Oryzias latipes: one gene and its partners. The protein of the gene in region 3 purifies or fractionates together with the protein of the main gene of each other region. This does not show direct contact. Links are inferred from orthologs where the notes say so. Each region holds a gene or a part of one and is shown on either strand. Other genes may lie near its edges.

The links. Proteins that work in one complex are often made in the same cells at the same time.
Region 1: the proteins of gtpbp4 (region 3) and mrto4 purify together in Homo sapiens (affinity purification with mass spectrometry; 3 studies listed by BioGRID and IntAct, counting the BioPlex papers as one, with this or other methods). This does not show direct contact. The link is inferred for Oryzias latipes from reciprocal best matches to the Homo sapiens genes GTPBP4 and MRTO4.
Region 2: the proteins of gtpbp4 (region 3) and nsa2 purify together in Homo sapiens (affinity purification with mass spectrometry; 3 studies listed by BioGRID and IntAct, counting the BioPlex papers as one, with this or other methods). This does not show direct contact. The link is inferred for Oryzias latipes from reciprocal best matches to the Homo sapiens genes GTPBP4 and NSA2.

What each region holds. Positions count from the first base shown.
Region 1 is NC_019863.2:9,138,661-9,143,726, forward strand, and holds the start of mrto4 (mRNA turnover protein 4 homolog), read right to left. Parts: upstream 3,371-5,066; 5' UTR 3,274-3,370; coding exon 3,246-3,273; intron 1-3,245. UniProt on the Homo sapiens protein: Component of the ribosome assembly machinery. Nuclear paralog of the ribosomal protein P0, it binds pre-60S subunits at an early stage of assembly in the nucleolus, and is replaced by P0 in cytoplasmic pre-60S subunits and mature 80S ribosomes.
Region 2 is NC_019870.2:5,749,641-5,754,425, forward strand, and holds nsa2 (ribosome biogenesis protein NSA2 homolog), read left to right. Parts: upstream 1-1,562; 5' UTR 1,563-1,715; coding exon 1,716-1,718; intron 1,719-2,363; coding exon 2,364-2,551; intron 2,552-2,625; coding exon 2,626-2,776; intron 2,777-2,863; coding exon 2,864-3,043; intron 3,044-3,146; coding exon 3,147-3,339; intron 3,340-3,447; coding exon 3,448-3,515; 3' UTR 3,516-3,715; downstream 3,716-4,785. Other genes in the region: gfm2 (ribosome-releasing factor 2, mitochondrial), read right to left, coding at 1-79, 154-279, 359-456, 552-597, 790-871, 1,074-1,082. UniProt on the Homo sapiens protein: Involved in the biogenesis of the 60S ribosomal subunit. May play a part in the quality control of pre-60S particles.
Region 3 is NC_019875.2:8,399,029-8,403,960, forward strand, and holds the start of gtpbp4 (nucleolar GTP-binding protein 1), read left to right. Parts: upstream 1-1,707; 5' UTR 1,708-1,793; coding exon 1,794-1,841; intron 1,842-2,232; coding exon 2,233-2,403; intron 2,404-2,477; coding exon 2,478-2,581; intron 2,582-2,985; coding exon 2,986-3,122; intron 3,123-3,215; coding exon 3,216-3,316; intron 3,317-3,452; coding exon 3,453-3,545; intron 3,546-4,885; coding exon 4,886-4,932. UniProt on the Homo sapiens protein: Involved in the biogenesis of the 60S ribosomal subunit. Acts as a TP53 repressor, preventing TP53 stabilization and cell cycle arrest.

The DNA.
Region 1 (5,066 bases), on a different chromosome or scaffold from region 3:
AATCATCCTTTTCCACCTCACTCTATCATGAACATCTTCTACCCTAACATTAGCCAACTTCATGTCCTCTGTCAAGACATCCATGTATCTCCTCTTTGGCCGTCCTCTTGCCCTCCTGCCAGGCAGCTCCATCTCCAACATCCTTCTACCAATATATCCACTATCCCTCCTCTGAACATGTCCAAACCATCTCAGTCTGGCTTCTCTGACTTTGTCGCTAACACAGGCAACATGAGCCGTCCCTCTGATGTACTCGTTCCTTATCCTGTCTAACCTGGTCACTCCTAAGGAGAACCTCAACATCTTCATCTCCGCTACCTCCATCTCAGCCTCTTGTCTCTGTCTCACTGCTACCGTCTCTAACCCATAGAGCAGAGCTGGTCTCACCACTGTCTTGTACACCTTTCCTTTGAGTCTTGCTGGCACTCTTCTGTCACACAACACTCCTGACACTTTCCTCCACCCGCTCCAACCTGCCTGCACTCGCCTCTTCACCTCTTTTCCACACTCCCCATCACACTGAACTGTTGACCCCAAGTACTTAAACTCCTGCACCTTCTTCACCTCAGCCCCCTGTAACCTAACGCTTCTACCTTGATCCCTCTCGTTCAGACACATGTATTCTGTCTTACTACGACTGACCTTCATGCCTCTTCTTTCCAGAGCAAACCTCCACCTCTCTAGCTGTTCCTCCACCTGCTCTCTACTCTCACTGCAAATTACGATGTCATCCGCAAACATCATTGTCCAGGGAGATTCCTGTCTTACCTCGTCTGTCAGCCTGTCCATCAGCATAGCAAACAAAAAAGGACTCAAAGCTGATCCTTGGTGTAGTCCCACCTCCACCTTGAACTCCTCTGTCTGACCTACAGCACATCTCACCACCGTCATACTTCTCTCATACATGTCCTGAACTACTCTGACATACTTCTCTGCCACTCCAGACGACCTCATACAGTACCACAGCTCCTCCCTCGGCACCCTGTCATACGCCTTCTCTAAATCTACGAACACACAATGCAGCTCCTTCTGACCTTCTCTGTACTTTTCCATCAACATTCTCAAAGCAAAAATGGCATCAGTGGTGCTCTTACGGGGCATGAAACCATACTGCTGCTCACAAATCTCCACCTTCTTCCTAAGCCTGGCTTCCACTACTCTTTCCCACAGCTTCATTGTGTGGCTCATCAACTTTATTCCTCTATAGTTGCTGCAGTTCTGCGTGTCACCCTTGTTCTTAAAGATCGGAACCAGAACGCTTCTCCTCCATTCCTCAGGCATCTTCTCACTCTCTAGAATCCTATTGAAAAAACTCGTTAGAAATTCCACTGCTGTCTCTCCTAAGCACTTCCATACCTCCACAGGTACGTCATCAGGACCAACGGCCTTTCCGCTCTTCATCCTTTTCAGAGCCTTCCTAACCTCATCCTTTCCAATCTCTGCTACTTCCTGCTCCACAACAACCACATCTTCCTCCCTTCTTTCCCTGTCATTTTCCTCGTTCATCAGCTCCTCAAAATACTCCTTCCATCTTTTCTGTACACTCTCCTGGGTTGTTAGCACCTTTCCGTCTCTGTCCTTAATCACCCTTATCTGTTGCACGTCCTTCCCATCTCTGTCTCTCTGTCTGGCTAGCCTGTACAAGTCCTTCTCTCCTTCCTTTGTGTCTAACCTGTCATATAGCTCATCGTAAGCTTTCTGTTTGGCCTTTGCCACCTCTCTCTTCACTCTACGCTGCGCTTCCTTGTACTCATGTCTACCTTCCTCAGTCCTTTCTACATCCCACTTCCTTTTAGCCAACCTCTTCCTCTGGACGCATTCCTGTACTTCCTCATTCCACCACCAAGTCTCTTTACCGTCTTTCCTCTTTCCAGATGACACACCTAGCACCTTCCTACCTGTTTCCCTGATAATCTCTGCTGTAGTTTCCCAGTCATCTGGAAGCTCATCCTGACCACCCAGGACCTGCCTCAACTTCTGCCTAAATTCCTCACAAGTTTCTTCATTCTGTAGCTTCCACCACTTGGTCTTCTTTTCTGTTTTCCCTCTCTTCTTCTTCCTGACCTCCAGAGTCATCTTACACACCACCATGCGGTGCTGTTTGGCTACACTCTCTCCTACCACCACTTTGCAGTCATTAACCTCTCTCAAATGACCTCGTCTACATAGGATGTAGTCCACCTGAGTACTCCTACCTCCACTTCTGTATGTCACTCTATGTTCCTCTCTCTTCTGGAAGTAAGTGTTGACTACAGCCATTTCCATCCTCTTCGCAAAGTCCACCACCATCTGTCCCTCCAGATTCCTTTCATTCACACCAAACCTGCCCATCACCTCCTCATCACCTCTGTTGCCCTCACCAACATGCCCATTAAAGTCTGCTCCAATAACAACTCTCTCTCCTCTGGGGATACTCTCTATGACCTCATCCAACTCACTCCAGAATCTCTCCTTCACTTCTAACTCACAGCCAACCTGTGGCGCATACCCACTGACTACATTCACCATCACCCCTTCAATTTCTAACTTTAGGCTCATCATCCTGTCTGAGACTCTTTTCACCTCTAGAACACTGTTTACAAACTCCCCCTTCAGAATCACACCTACCCCGTTTCTCTTCCTATCAACACCATGATAGAACAGTTTGTATCCTCCTCCAATACTACGTGCCTTGCTGCCCTTCCACCTTGTCTCCTGCACACACAGTACATCTACCTTCCTTCTCTCCATCATGTCTGCCAGCTCTCTGCCTTTCCCTGTCATTGTGCCAACGTTAAGAGTCCCTATTCTCAAACCTATGTTCCTGCCTTTTCCCTTCTCTCTCTGGCCACGGACCCTTCTGCCTCCCCTCTTTCTTCGACCAACAGTAGTCAAATTTCCACCGACACCCTGTAGGTTAACAGCATCGGTGGCGGTCGTTGTTAACCCGGGCCTCGACCGATCCGGTATGTCAAAAGTGTTGTGGATGATTCGCATGGTTATTTTGGCAATTTTTACGCCGGATGCCCTTCCTGACGCAACCCTCTCTATTTATCCGGGCTTGGGACCGGCACAGAGGCAACTGGCTTGCAACCCCTGTGGCTAGATTGCTTTACAGCGCATCGCGTAACACATTTGTGCTAATTTTTGTTAGCTTATAAAACGTCCACGACCGAAAAACGAGTGCTTTAAGTCGGTAACAGGTTTTAAAAACTGGAATCGAATAAATATACCAAACACATCAATATAAACTTTTAATTTCTTACTTTTCTTGTCTCTCTTTGACTTGGGCATGGTTGTTCACGTTGGCAGACAGCGCACGTGAAGCAAAAGGACCCCAAATGTTTCTTTTCCTGTAAGATGACCACACAGCGCCTGATTAAAAATAAAAAGAATTATCAGGTTTTTTTTTTTATTGAAATTACTTTAAACAATGATTTACCTAAACTAAACGCATTAAACTCATTGGTGATGCATTCCCCCCACATTCTAACATATTTTATCCATTAATTAATTTATGTATCAAACATGTAATTAGTTTTGTTCTAATGCCTGAAGAAATATGTGGACTTCTAAACTCTGCAACGTTGTGGACAAACTTTGATAGGGTACCGGATGTTCTCGGGTTGCCGGATGTTCTCGGGGTCCTTCGGGGTCCTTCGACCAATGATGACGTCACACTATTTGATTGGCTGTAAGTTGCCACGACCAATGAGTTAACGTAGCTAAGTTTTTTAAAAAACTTTATTGACAATTGCGGTATCATACATTAACAATGACATTAACGTTAACAACGAACAATAACGATGTAATCAATATTGCCTCGAAGATCAGTCACCATTGCCAAATATAACATATTGACATAGAAAATACATAATAGAGGGGAAAAAAAGAAACAATGAACATAACACACAAATAAATAAAAACATAAGTAAAATAAAATAAAGGAACATAGAAAAAATCTAAGTAGTCTAATACTAGTTAAGTTAGGGGTACTCGTGAAGTTTTTATTTCTGAACAAAACTAAGCAATTTCAAGCCATTCTTCTTTTTCATATAATGAAGTGATTGAAAGCAAAAACAGAGCTCTTTATTAAATGTTATAAAAGTGGTTTGGTCTTCAAAACTTGACCTCACCAAGATGGCGGTGCTCTCCTCCCATGAGGAACCACGTGATGTCTCCTCTAGTGATAGAACTCATTGGAAGGACCCTGAAGGACCCCGAGAACATCCGGCAACCCGAGAACATCCGGTACCTACACCGCCTATTTAGGAAACTAACACAAAAAACCTTTGGCTCTGATAACACAAATGGGTCACCTGCTTCACACTAGGAACTGAACATCGGTGTAGTGTTACTGCTCCAAATACCATCATGTGAACACCTAGCAGTGCCAATCAGGGAAAACTGGAGGGCAGATCATGTGTTGGCTTACTTGCTTCACTTACTCAGTGTGATGCACCATAAAGATCATTTTGAAACAGCTGGGCACTGATTTTGCAAAACAGCTATTAATACTTCAAATGCCCTTATCAATCATATACTTTCTTGAATGTTATTGCAGGAAAAGATTTATTGCATATTCTTTTCCGTACTCCTGTACACACTGAAGCTTTTATGCCCATTATAGCTGCCATCTGGTGGGGATTATGAACAGATTAACCTACAAAACAGCACCTGAGCCACAGAGAAGCAGCACACACAGTCAAAGCAATGCAGTACAGGTACAAATTGTTTCTGTTTACCTCTTTGTAATAGAATAGAGCAAATCTATCATTTTTGTAACCCAAAAATCCAGTTTGGACAGCTACTTCAGGAACAATATGTAACTTTAAGAAACACAAAAAGTGTTAGGGCTTCACGTAACAATAGAACATATAGATCTATTATGGTATAAAGTGGAAAAACAAGGAAAACACCACTGAAAATGCTATTAAAGCAGAGGTGTCCAAACTTTTGCAAAAAGGGCCAGATTTGGTGTGGTGAAAATGTGTTAGGGCCAACCTTTGTTTTGCATTATTTGTACCGTTATAACATAAAATGCAAATGAACCGATTGATTGATTTTTTTTCTCCAATGGGAAACTT
Region 2 (4,785 bases), on a different chromosome or scaffold from region 3:
GCAGACGCGTCAAACACGGCGACGGCTCCATCCAGAACGCGAAGCGCCCGCTCCACCTCCAGAGTAAAGTCAACGTGTCCTGCAGTCACACAAACATCTCTGTCTGCTCCTCATTTGAATGTGATCCACGCTTTGAGAGGCAGAGCATTTTACCTGGAGTGTCTATGAGGTTTATTCTGTGACTGTTCCAGTCGAAGGTGACTGCTGCCGACTGTATGGTGATGCCGCGCTCCCTCTCCTGAGCCATAAAATCTGTGACTGTATCCCCGTCGTCAACATCTACCAGCAGACAGAAAGAATAAACTAAGCAAAAGCGGTGAGAGCTCTGAGAAACAAAAACTGAGGCACGCGTCTGCACCTCCTAATGCCCTCGTATAGCCAGAGTAGTACAGCATCCTCTCTGTTGTGGTGGTTTTTCCTGCATCAATGTGGGCCATGATGCCAATATTTCGAATCCTGCGGGGTCAGATCACAGCTCAGCACAAGCATCGGAACAGAATTTGCTGATGCATTTCTAAAAAACAATCTGTCTTTCAAGAGCTAAAACGTACTTGGATATGTCAGGGGTGACCACAGCCCGCAGCGACTTAACATCATCTGTCACAACAGGATAAATCATTTAAAATCAGATTTCCAGCATACCGATGCATGGCAACAAATATTAAAAAGGTGAAAAAATCCCCAAATTTTCAATATCTGTAGAAAATGGACAGAGATCTACATCCTCACAACCTGAAACATATCGGTGGATTCAATATGCTACAGCGTCTGATCATAAACCAAACCTACCTGGAAGAAATCCATACTGTCTCTTTATAAAGCTGACTTTACATCTGCAGCTCTGTCGGCCAGCGGACACCAAACACCGTCCCTGTACATTAAATATAAGAAATCTTTTTGTTTGTGCTTTTACACTTAAGTTGCAGCTTTGAGATTTGGGGAAACACACATCCAACCAACATGAACTTATGTTTATGCTACAATACAGCAATAATGGTTTTTCACACAAGCTAAATAAACAATAAGACATGATTACAGTATTTGAAAAAGAATATTTTTAAATGATTTCTTACCCAAAGCATTCTGCTAATTGTGAAGCTGACAGGCTTCACCTTTTGCTAGAAACTCCTTTCCAATCCTCAATGCTCCAAACATGTAATGATACGTTCAGATTTATGCAGACTGAGAGAAGCGTCTAGCGGCTACATAAATATACCGAAACTTAGAGTTAAATTCTTCGTTATGCACATGTTATAAAAAATAATACAAATCGTTAAAATACCCTTGACAGCCGAAACAGGCATGTAACTTGTTTGAGACATGTTGTACACAACCTAAAATATACCCTCTAGAAACAACCCAACTGTTCTTTTTAGTTCCGTCAATAAATCGAAAACCTCACTTTGTCTATCCAAGTCTAATATGTTCTAAAATAGTCTTTTAAATATATTTAATAAATACTGTTATTTTCTTAATATATATTATTGACAACAGCGGGTCAGAATAAATATTTTTGTACAACTTTGCAGGTTTCTTGCAACGTACCGGATGTGTTGTAGATCAAGTGATGACGTATTTCCTCTACACATCGGCACGGGGGACAACAACACCGATAACCCCCAGCCTGGAAAGAAAAACCCAAAATAATCGGTGTATTTCGTAACTGCAACGATATTTGAAATATTAACAATCATACTTAACATCTCCAGCGCAAAATGGTGAGAAGCGTAATACTTTTAGTTTTGTTTTTGTTCACATTAAAGCGGCTAAGCGCGTTAGCATGTTATGCTAGTGTTAGCTGCGTGGGGCGACTTCACGTGTTGCTATAAATTTTAAGTTTATGGGTTTTTTTGGCATTATATATATCGCAAACTACTGAATGAAATGATTTCAGTACTGTATTTTCATCAGGGGAAACTAATAATTCCCAGTTTTATATAAACTAAACTGGAGCTAGTACTATCCGGGAGATTTTTGACGCACAACTATTGATTCGTAACACTTGTGGGTTTTTTTTCTGGAGAAATTTGCTCATTTGAAGGAAATCTGTTAACTGTGATTAAGTGGGTACATAGATGTTATGCTCCTACTTGTAATACAAATTCTAAGTCATAATTTCAACCTAAATCTTACAGCCATAACGGAAAATAAATTCAATGTTTGTTGCATTATTACACATCACTTGTGCACTTGTGTACAGATGCCAGTGACCCCTGGAAATGCCTTTATGTTAAATTGGATGCAATTAAAATGTTTTGAATGTGTCACCTAAAAACTCTGTACGTTACTCTATGTAAATAATTTTGTAAAATTAGAATTATTCTATTTTGAGATTCAAAACCACTTCTTTTTTGTGAATGTAGCCTCAGAACGAACACATTGAGCTGCACCGCAAGCGGCATGGCTACCGCCTCGACCATCACGAGAGGAAAAGGAAGAAGGAGAGTAGGGAGGCTCACGAGCGCTCCCACAAAGCCAAGAAACTGATCGGCTTGAAGGCCAAACTGTACCACAAACAGAGACATGCAGAGAAGATCCAGATGAAGAAGACGTGAGTAACGTTGGAAAAGTATGATCATTTCTTTGCTGTTACACAGAGTTCAACACACGACTCTTTGTTTATAGCATCAAAATGCACGAACAGAGGAAAACTAAGCAGAAGAATGACGACAAGACGCCAGAGGGAGCAGTCCCAGCCTACCTGCTGGACAGAGAAGGACAGTCCAGAGCAAAGGTGCTCTCCAACATGATTAAACAGAAAAGGAAGGAGAAGGCTGTAAGTAGAAGCCCTGCAGAGTTTATATTTTTAAACCACAGAAACCCAAATTTGATGTGCTTTTTGTGAATTGTTTTCCGTGTGCAGGGTAAATGGGAGGTGCCTTTGCCAAAGGTGCGTGCTCAAGGAGAGACTGAAGTACTGAAAGTCATCAAAACAGGGAAGAGGCAGAAGAAAGCGTGGAAGAGGATGGTCACTAAAGTGTGCTTTGTCGGGGACGGCTTCACACGTAAACCTCCAAAGTACGAGCGCTTCATCCGGCCCATGGTGAGAAGACGGGACGCTTCTGTTTAGGATTTTCTACAGTCAGATCTGCTTCAAATCAAAGACCCTGAAAACCTTAAGCACGTCTCCTTCGTGTTTCTTTTAGGGTTTGCGCTTTAAAAAGGCTCACGTCACTCATCCAGAGCTGAAAGCAACGTTCTGTCTCCCCATCCTCGGAGTGAAGAAGAACCCCTCCTCCCCCCTCTACACGTCTCTGGGCGTCATCACGAAGGGAACAGTGATAGAAGTCAATGTCAGCGAGCTGGGCCTGGTTACACAAGGAGGAAAGGTTATCTGGGGTGAGTTATCCATTCTGGTTCCAGCTGCACAGTACCGACAGTTTCAGCTTTAAAGTGTGGTTGAATCTAACTTGAGTTGGTGTTTTCGGTCTCTGTGTTGCTTTCCAGGTAAATACGCCCAGGTAACAAACAACCCAGAGAACGACGGCTGCATCAACGCCGTTTTGCTCGTCTGAGACTCAGAATGCCCGCTAACTGTGCCTGCCTACTCTTAATTTATGTTTAAGAGTACAGATTACATCAAAGATGCTTTGGACTTTGTTTCTTGGACCGTTTGGAATATCGGAAAGGTTGCTCGGAGCATTTTCTGCAACAAGGAGAAACTGAGAGAAAAAGGTGTTAAATTTCAAATAAATAAAACAAAACTTTAACGTTTTCTTGAATTGTTTGAACCAGTATTGTTTAGTAGGTGGAAGAATGGTATAATTTGACAGGTTTTTACATACAAAAGAATAAAATGCAACCACATTACCCAAAGCACAACGAAATTACCCGCAACAGAAATTAGGACTTTTTTTTGCTATCGGCGAAAAAACCCAATTCAGTCTCAAACTATTCGGCGCTCCTGAGAGCTACGTGATATTTGGACAAGATTAGGGTGTTTTCTTACTAGATAACGTCTTTTTTTTTTTTTAATGACTTAAGTCGTTTTAAAAAAACGCTGTTTTATTAGCCTGTCGAAAAACTCATCCTTTCATGTAAGTTATACTGTCAGAACAAAACATGTTTTTATTTTATTTTTATTGATGGGTAATGCCATAAAGACCCACTGTGGTTATCTGTTGATCTATTGTAGAAACGTTCCCAGTGGGTTTTTAATTAGGATTATGCTCTTTTTAGGTCAAATCTAAAAAACATGTCATTTTTGAGGACAATGTTTCTGCAGATTGGTTGTAGTTCATTTGAAAAGCAATTTTAAGATTAAAATTTCTTTACATAGATTCTCCAAAATCAGCAAAATATCCCGTTAACAGTTTCCATCAGTGGGTCTTTGTTGGTTTCTGCTGATATAAACTGAGCAGAAAAATGTCAAGTTCAACTTTATCTTATTGAACCCTGCTATTCTTTTGAAGTATTTCATTTCAAAAATCAGTGTTTTTATTGCAAACTAAAGTGCTGCTATAGTTTACCCAACACTAAACTCACCCTTAAAAATGTAAACATTGGTGACAAACGGCCAACCGACGGAAAGATTCACACATTTGGTGAAAAGGGATCGACTTCTTTATACCAACATTACCCAACTTCATTCTGTTTGCTGCTCAGTCATGAGAAAAGACAAATAACATCTTTAGGCTCTGATTTTTCTAAGTTCAGCAACTTAATAGACCTTTTTTTAAGTCAGAATAAGACATTTCAGATAAAACCACGTTAATGATTAACCAGCTGTCAAACTTTCAGAAAGTGGGACTCAATATTCTTGACGAAGTTGAAGTCCTCTAGTCA
Region 3 (4,932 bases):
ATAAACCGTGAGATGTTTGCTTTGAACTTCTTCACAGATGCCACCCAGCCAAATCCTCACTCCACATGGACATTGATGGAAACTGCTCCTTTTGTAAATTAGACACTGAAACAATCATGCATCTATTCTGGAAATGCACCCAAACAGCAACTTTTTGCAAAGACTTTACCTCTTTTGTTTAATGAAAAATGTATATGAAATTTGATCTAGTATACAAGGATATATTATTTGTTTTTATAATGTTAAACATTCACTAATAAGGGAATACTACTTAATTAACCTTTTAATAATACTAGCCAAATTTCATGTTCATAAATGCAAATTTTCTGAAAGAAAAGCCCCGATTCAAACTTTTTATGATTGAGTTAAACAAATAAACAAGAACAATAAAATCTTCTTCTAACCCCAAAGCTATAAGAACCTTTGACACTCTGGAATTTTTTAAGTGTACAGAATAGCAACTTGCAGCTTTTACTGCTCTTGTTTATGATCTTTTTTTTCCCTATGTTCTTTGTGTTCCCCTGGCATATTTTGTTACTCATTTTTCTATCTGTGTACTTTAAAGTTGACTTGATTTCGTACTAAGATCCTGTAAATCTTCAATAAAGATTTTTGAAAAAAAATAAATAAAAAGATATTTGCGCTCAAATTGGTTGGTTTGTGATAAAAGCCGTCACAACTTTTTTTTATGTCTTTAAAATTATGGAAAACGTTTGAAACATTCATAATAATAATAAAAACGTTACTTTTAAAATAATAAGTTTATGAAAAAAATATGTTTCTCTAATGAAAAGCCTGAGCAATTTAAATATCCCAAGCAGGCAACATAACATATAAAGTTTCAATAAAATAATAATAAGATTTGTAGCATTTTTTTTTTAAAAGAACTTTAGTTGTATGACACTTTTTACAAGAACATAATGTGAAAATTTGTCTTGAATATTCTAGAGAAACTTGTTGCAGATTTCATAGGAAAATGTCCTATGGTATGAGCAAAGCATAAATCATTTCACTGCAGTGAACCATTTTAAAAAGCAGATTGAAATGTAAGTGAGTTTTTTGTTTAAGCTTCAATTTAGCCAAAATCATGATGTTGATAATGATGATGATGACGATGATGAAGAAGAAGATGAGTTTTTGGATATTTAAAACATCAAAATTTTAAAAAATCAAATTTTTTTACAGATAACAAAAACACAGACAATCAGTCATAATAAAGTAGCAAGACACAATTCACAATCAGACACAGAAAGAAAGAAGAACACAGAATGAATAAAACTATAGAAAAGACAAAAATCTAAAAGAATAAATGGAAAAATAAATACAGAAAAGGTAACCAGGATGCAGAATTGAATGCAAATTTGCATCCCTTTTTTTTAAGTTTTTTTTAAACTTTATTGTTCAAAACAAATAGAAAAAATATGTATGACAAGAACAATAGTCATAACAACGAGAATGGGATGGTACATGTATTACAAAAGAAATATTACAGAAACATATTGATATGCATTGAAAATATTCAAAGACATACAGTTTTCATAAACATATATCGCCGTTTTGTTTAAGCTATTAGAAATAGTGTGCAAATAAGATTCGAATATGAATGTGCATCCCTTTTTTTGTAGACTTTAAAACTCTGTGCACGACGTAGAACTGTGAGTTCACAATCAGACGCTAGGGGGCGATGTCGGGAAAACGTCGACTCTAACGTTTCAACAGCCTTTTCCGGTTCGAGCGGAACCTCGTCTTTCCTCTTCTCCGTGCCGTTCGCGGACCTCAACGTGTCCGACAAGATGGCACTTTATAACTTTAAAAAAATTATGGTGGTTCCCACCGCCAAGGTAAGCTTTAATCAACGAATCCATGGTTTTAAAGTAGCTTCCGTTTCAGCCACGATTACAAGACGGCAAGAAGTGACGAACAAATAGAACGTTTTTTCAGAAGAGAGAAAACACGTGCTTGTTGTTCAGATCAGACGCTTAAGGCTCTTTCTGAGTTAGTGACCACAAATTGTACAAATAATTCAAGTGATCTTTCTTTTGTCAGTCTAAAAACACAGGTGATCCATTTCGTGAATGTTGTTCTTGTTGACAGTCTTGATTTCATGCGACATACATGTTAAGAAAATGGTTTCAAATGTAAAAAGACACTTTTTTTTTGATGAAACAGGATTTATTCATATCTGAAGGGTGGTTTGTGTTGACACTTGTTTTTTTCCCCCCTCTTCTTAAGGAATTTATCGACATCACCTTATCCAAAACCCAAAGGAAGACGCCCACAGTCGTACACAAACATTACCAGATTCACAGAATCAGACACTTTTACATGCGAAAAGTGAAATTCACCCAGCAGAACTACCATGACCGCCTCACACAGATCCTCACAGACTTCCCCAAACTGGACGTAAGTACCCATCCCTGGACTTTTGCCCGACTCCTGAGATGTGCTTGTTGAATAGCTGTGCTTGGTCTCTGCAGGATATCCACCCATTTTATGCTGATCTGATGAACGTGCTGTATGACAAGGACCACTACAAGCTGGCCTTGGGACAGATAAACATAGCTAAAAACTTAATTGACAAGTAAGTCTATTGGGGTTCCTTTGCTTTTTGTGGATGTGAAGATGCCTAACTCTGACATGAGCCAGTTGTCATGGTTACCTGGTTCTTTCCTTTCTTGGTCCAAATGGAATGACCAGCTGAAGAGTACTTGTTTTTTTTTCTGTTTATTTTCAAACACTTTCATTAATGTCCTTTTAACTATTTGGTGGCAGTCTGAACTTACAGTATTCGTTTTCGTAAACTCCCTCACTCATCTATAATGCTGTGTTTAGCTGATATTTGGATGCTGTAACTTCATTTTAAGTATTTTTGTTCTACTGATCAACCCAGATTAAAGCAGAGAGACTTGTTCTTTTAATTGTTGCAAATAAGAAGCCAAACCTGCCGCAGGAGCTATCAAGCATGTGTTTTTCTGCATCCTCCAGTGTTGCCAAAGACTATGTGCGCCTGATGAAATATGGAGACTCTCTGTATCGATGCAAACAGCTGAAGAGAGCCGCTCTGGGTCGAATGTGCACCATCCTGAAACGACAGAAGTCCAGTCTGGAGTATTTGGAACAAGGTGAACATTGCCCTGTGCTTGGTTTTATTGTTGTCAGAAGCCTAAATCAGAAGTTACCAACAGCCTCTTTGAATTGTGTTTCCACCCTCGCAGTGCGACAGCATCTGTCCCGTCTGCCGAGCATCGACCCCAACACCCGGACCCTTCTCCTGTGTGGTTACCCCAACGTGGGCAAGTCCAGCTTCATCAACAAGGTGATTGGTTTGAAGTACTCTTGAATAAACTGGATGCAGACTCCGTCATATGTGAGCATGCTGCTGACTGTCGTGTGTTCGAGCTGCTTGACTAAGCTGTTTCCGGAACGGGGTTAACATACATGTTCCTCATCAGGTCACCAGAGCTGATGTTGATGTCCAGCCTTATGCCTTCACCACCAAATCCCTGTTTGTGGGTCACATGGACTACAGATACCTCCGCTGGCAGGTGAGACGCTGCACCTGGTTGTCTTTCAGCGTCAGATTAGTCCTAATTAATCCATTTAATTTGATGTCACAAGCAAGGACTCTGTATTGATGAAAGCCAGGAGAGTCAACCATCGTGATATGGGGGTTTGTTGGGGTGGGAAACGTTAATGCCTCACGGGGGGGGGGGGGGGGGGGGGGTAGGTGCTGAGACAAGAGAGAGCAACAGACAGTAATTGTCCAAGCGGTGCAGTTGCTGACCAGTTGTAGCGTGTTTAGCGATTATTAAGACGAGGCTGAGGAGGAGAGTTACAGTACTTGGTGGGGCTGTGGATCAGGATCAAAGGGTTTTGGGGGGTGAATCTATCTATCTATCTATCTATTGATACCACGCAGATGGGAATATGTAGACTGGGTGATGATGTTGAAGTGATTACCAGAGATGAAACCATAAACTTTTCCCATAATTTGGCTCAAACCTCGATCTTTGGCTCACAGCTTTGTTACAATTTGATATTTCTCTGCAGTATTCCTTCGCTATGTCGAAATTAACCTTTCCCAGATCTTTCTGAGCAAAACCCCGCTCTAAAATCTGCTGGAGATCTTGTCGATCAATCTCCTCTGTGGCGTGCCTCCTGTGCAGTGTGTTCAGTTTGCCACATTTCCAAAATTCTATGATAACGAGCAGATCTTCCTTCTCATTCGACAATACTAGAGTTATACTGGAGTTTAAACAAGAGACAGAAGTGTGAAAATGTGTGTCTGTCTGAGGAAAGTGTATTAAGTGTGTAGTGAGGGATTCTGTAATTTCTCCTATTGCGAGTTATTTATAGAATGAAACCTCCACAGTAAAGGAGGGAACACTGTAATGCAACACAACAAAAAGCTAAAAAGAAAAGCCCTGTAAGCAACAGTTCTGCTGGCTTATACTAGACCTGGTAAAATGATAAATAATAAAGCTTTCTCCAATGTAGCCTAATAGCTTTGACACTTAAACTTTCTAAGATGCAGTGGGGAGGATGCAACGCTTCACTTTTCCCACAATAATGTTTAGTTGCGTAACATACGGTTTCAGGTTTAAACAGAATTGTGACATCCCTAGTGATTTCTAAATGATAGGTAGTTTGCCCTTTTTACATGGGTAACCATGAAGTCCACAGAAGGAAATGTTAACTTTTGAGGAGGGGGACTTAAAACCAACAAGTAGTATTTCTGTTTTGTCAGCATTGAATTGAATGAAAACCACGCTTTGATGTCTGAGAGAAAACTTTCCGTGCTGTCCTCATTAAAGAGCTATAAATGTGCTTGGAGTTGCCTTAAATCAATGTGGACTGCATGTTTCCTGTCTGTCTGTTTGTGCAGGTGGTGGACACCCCCGGAATCCTGGACCACCCCCTGGAGGACAGGAA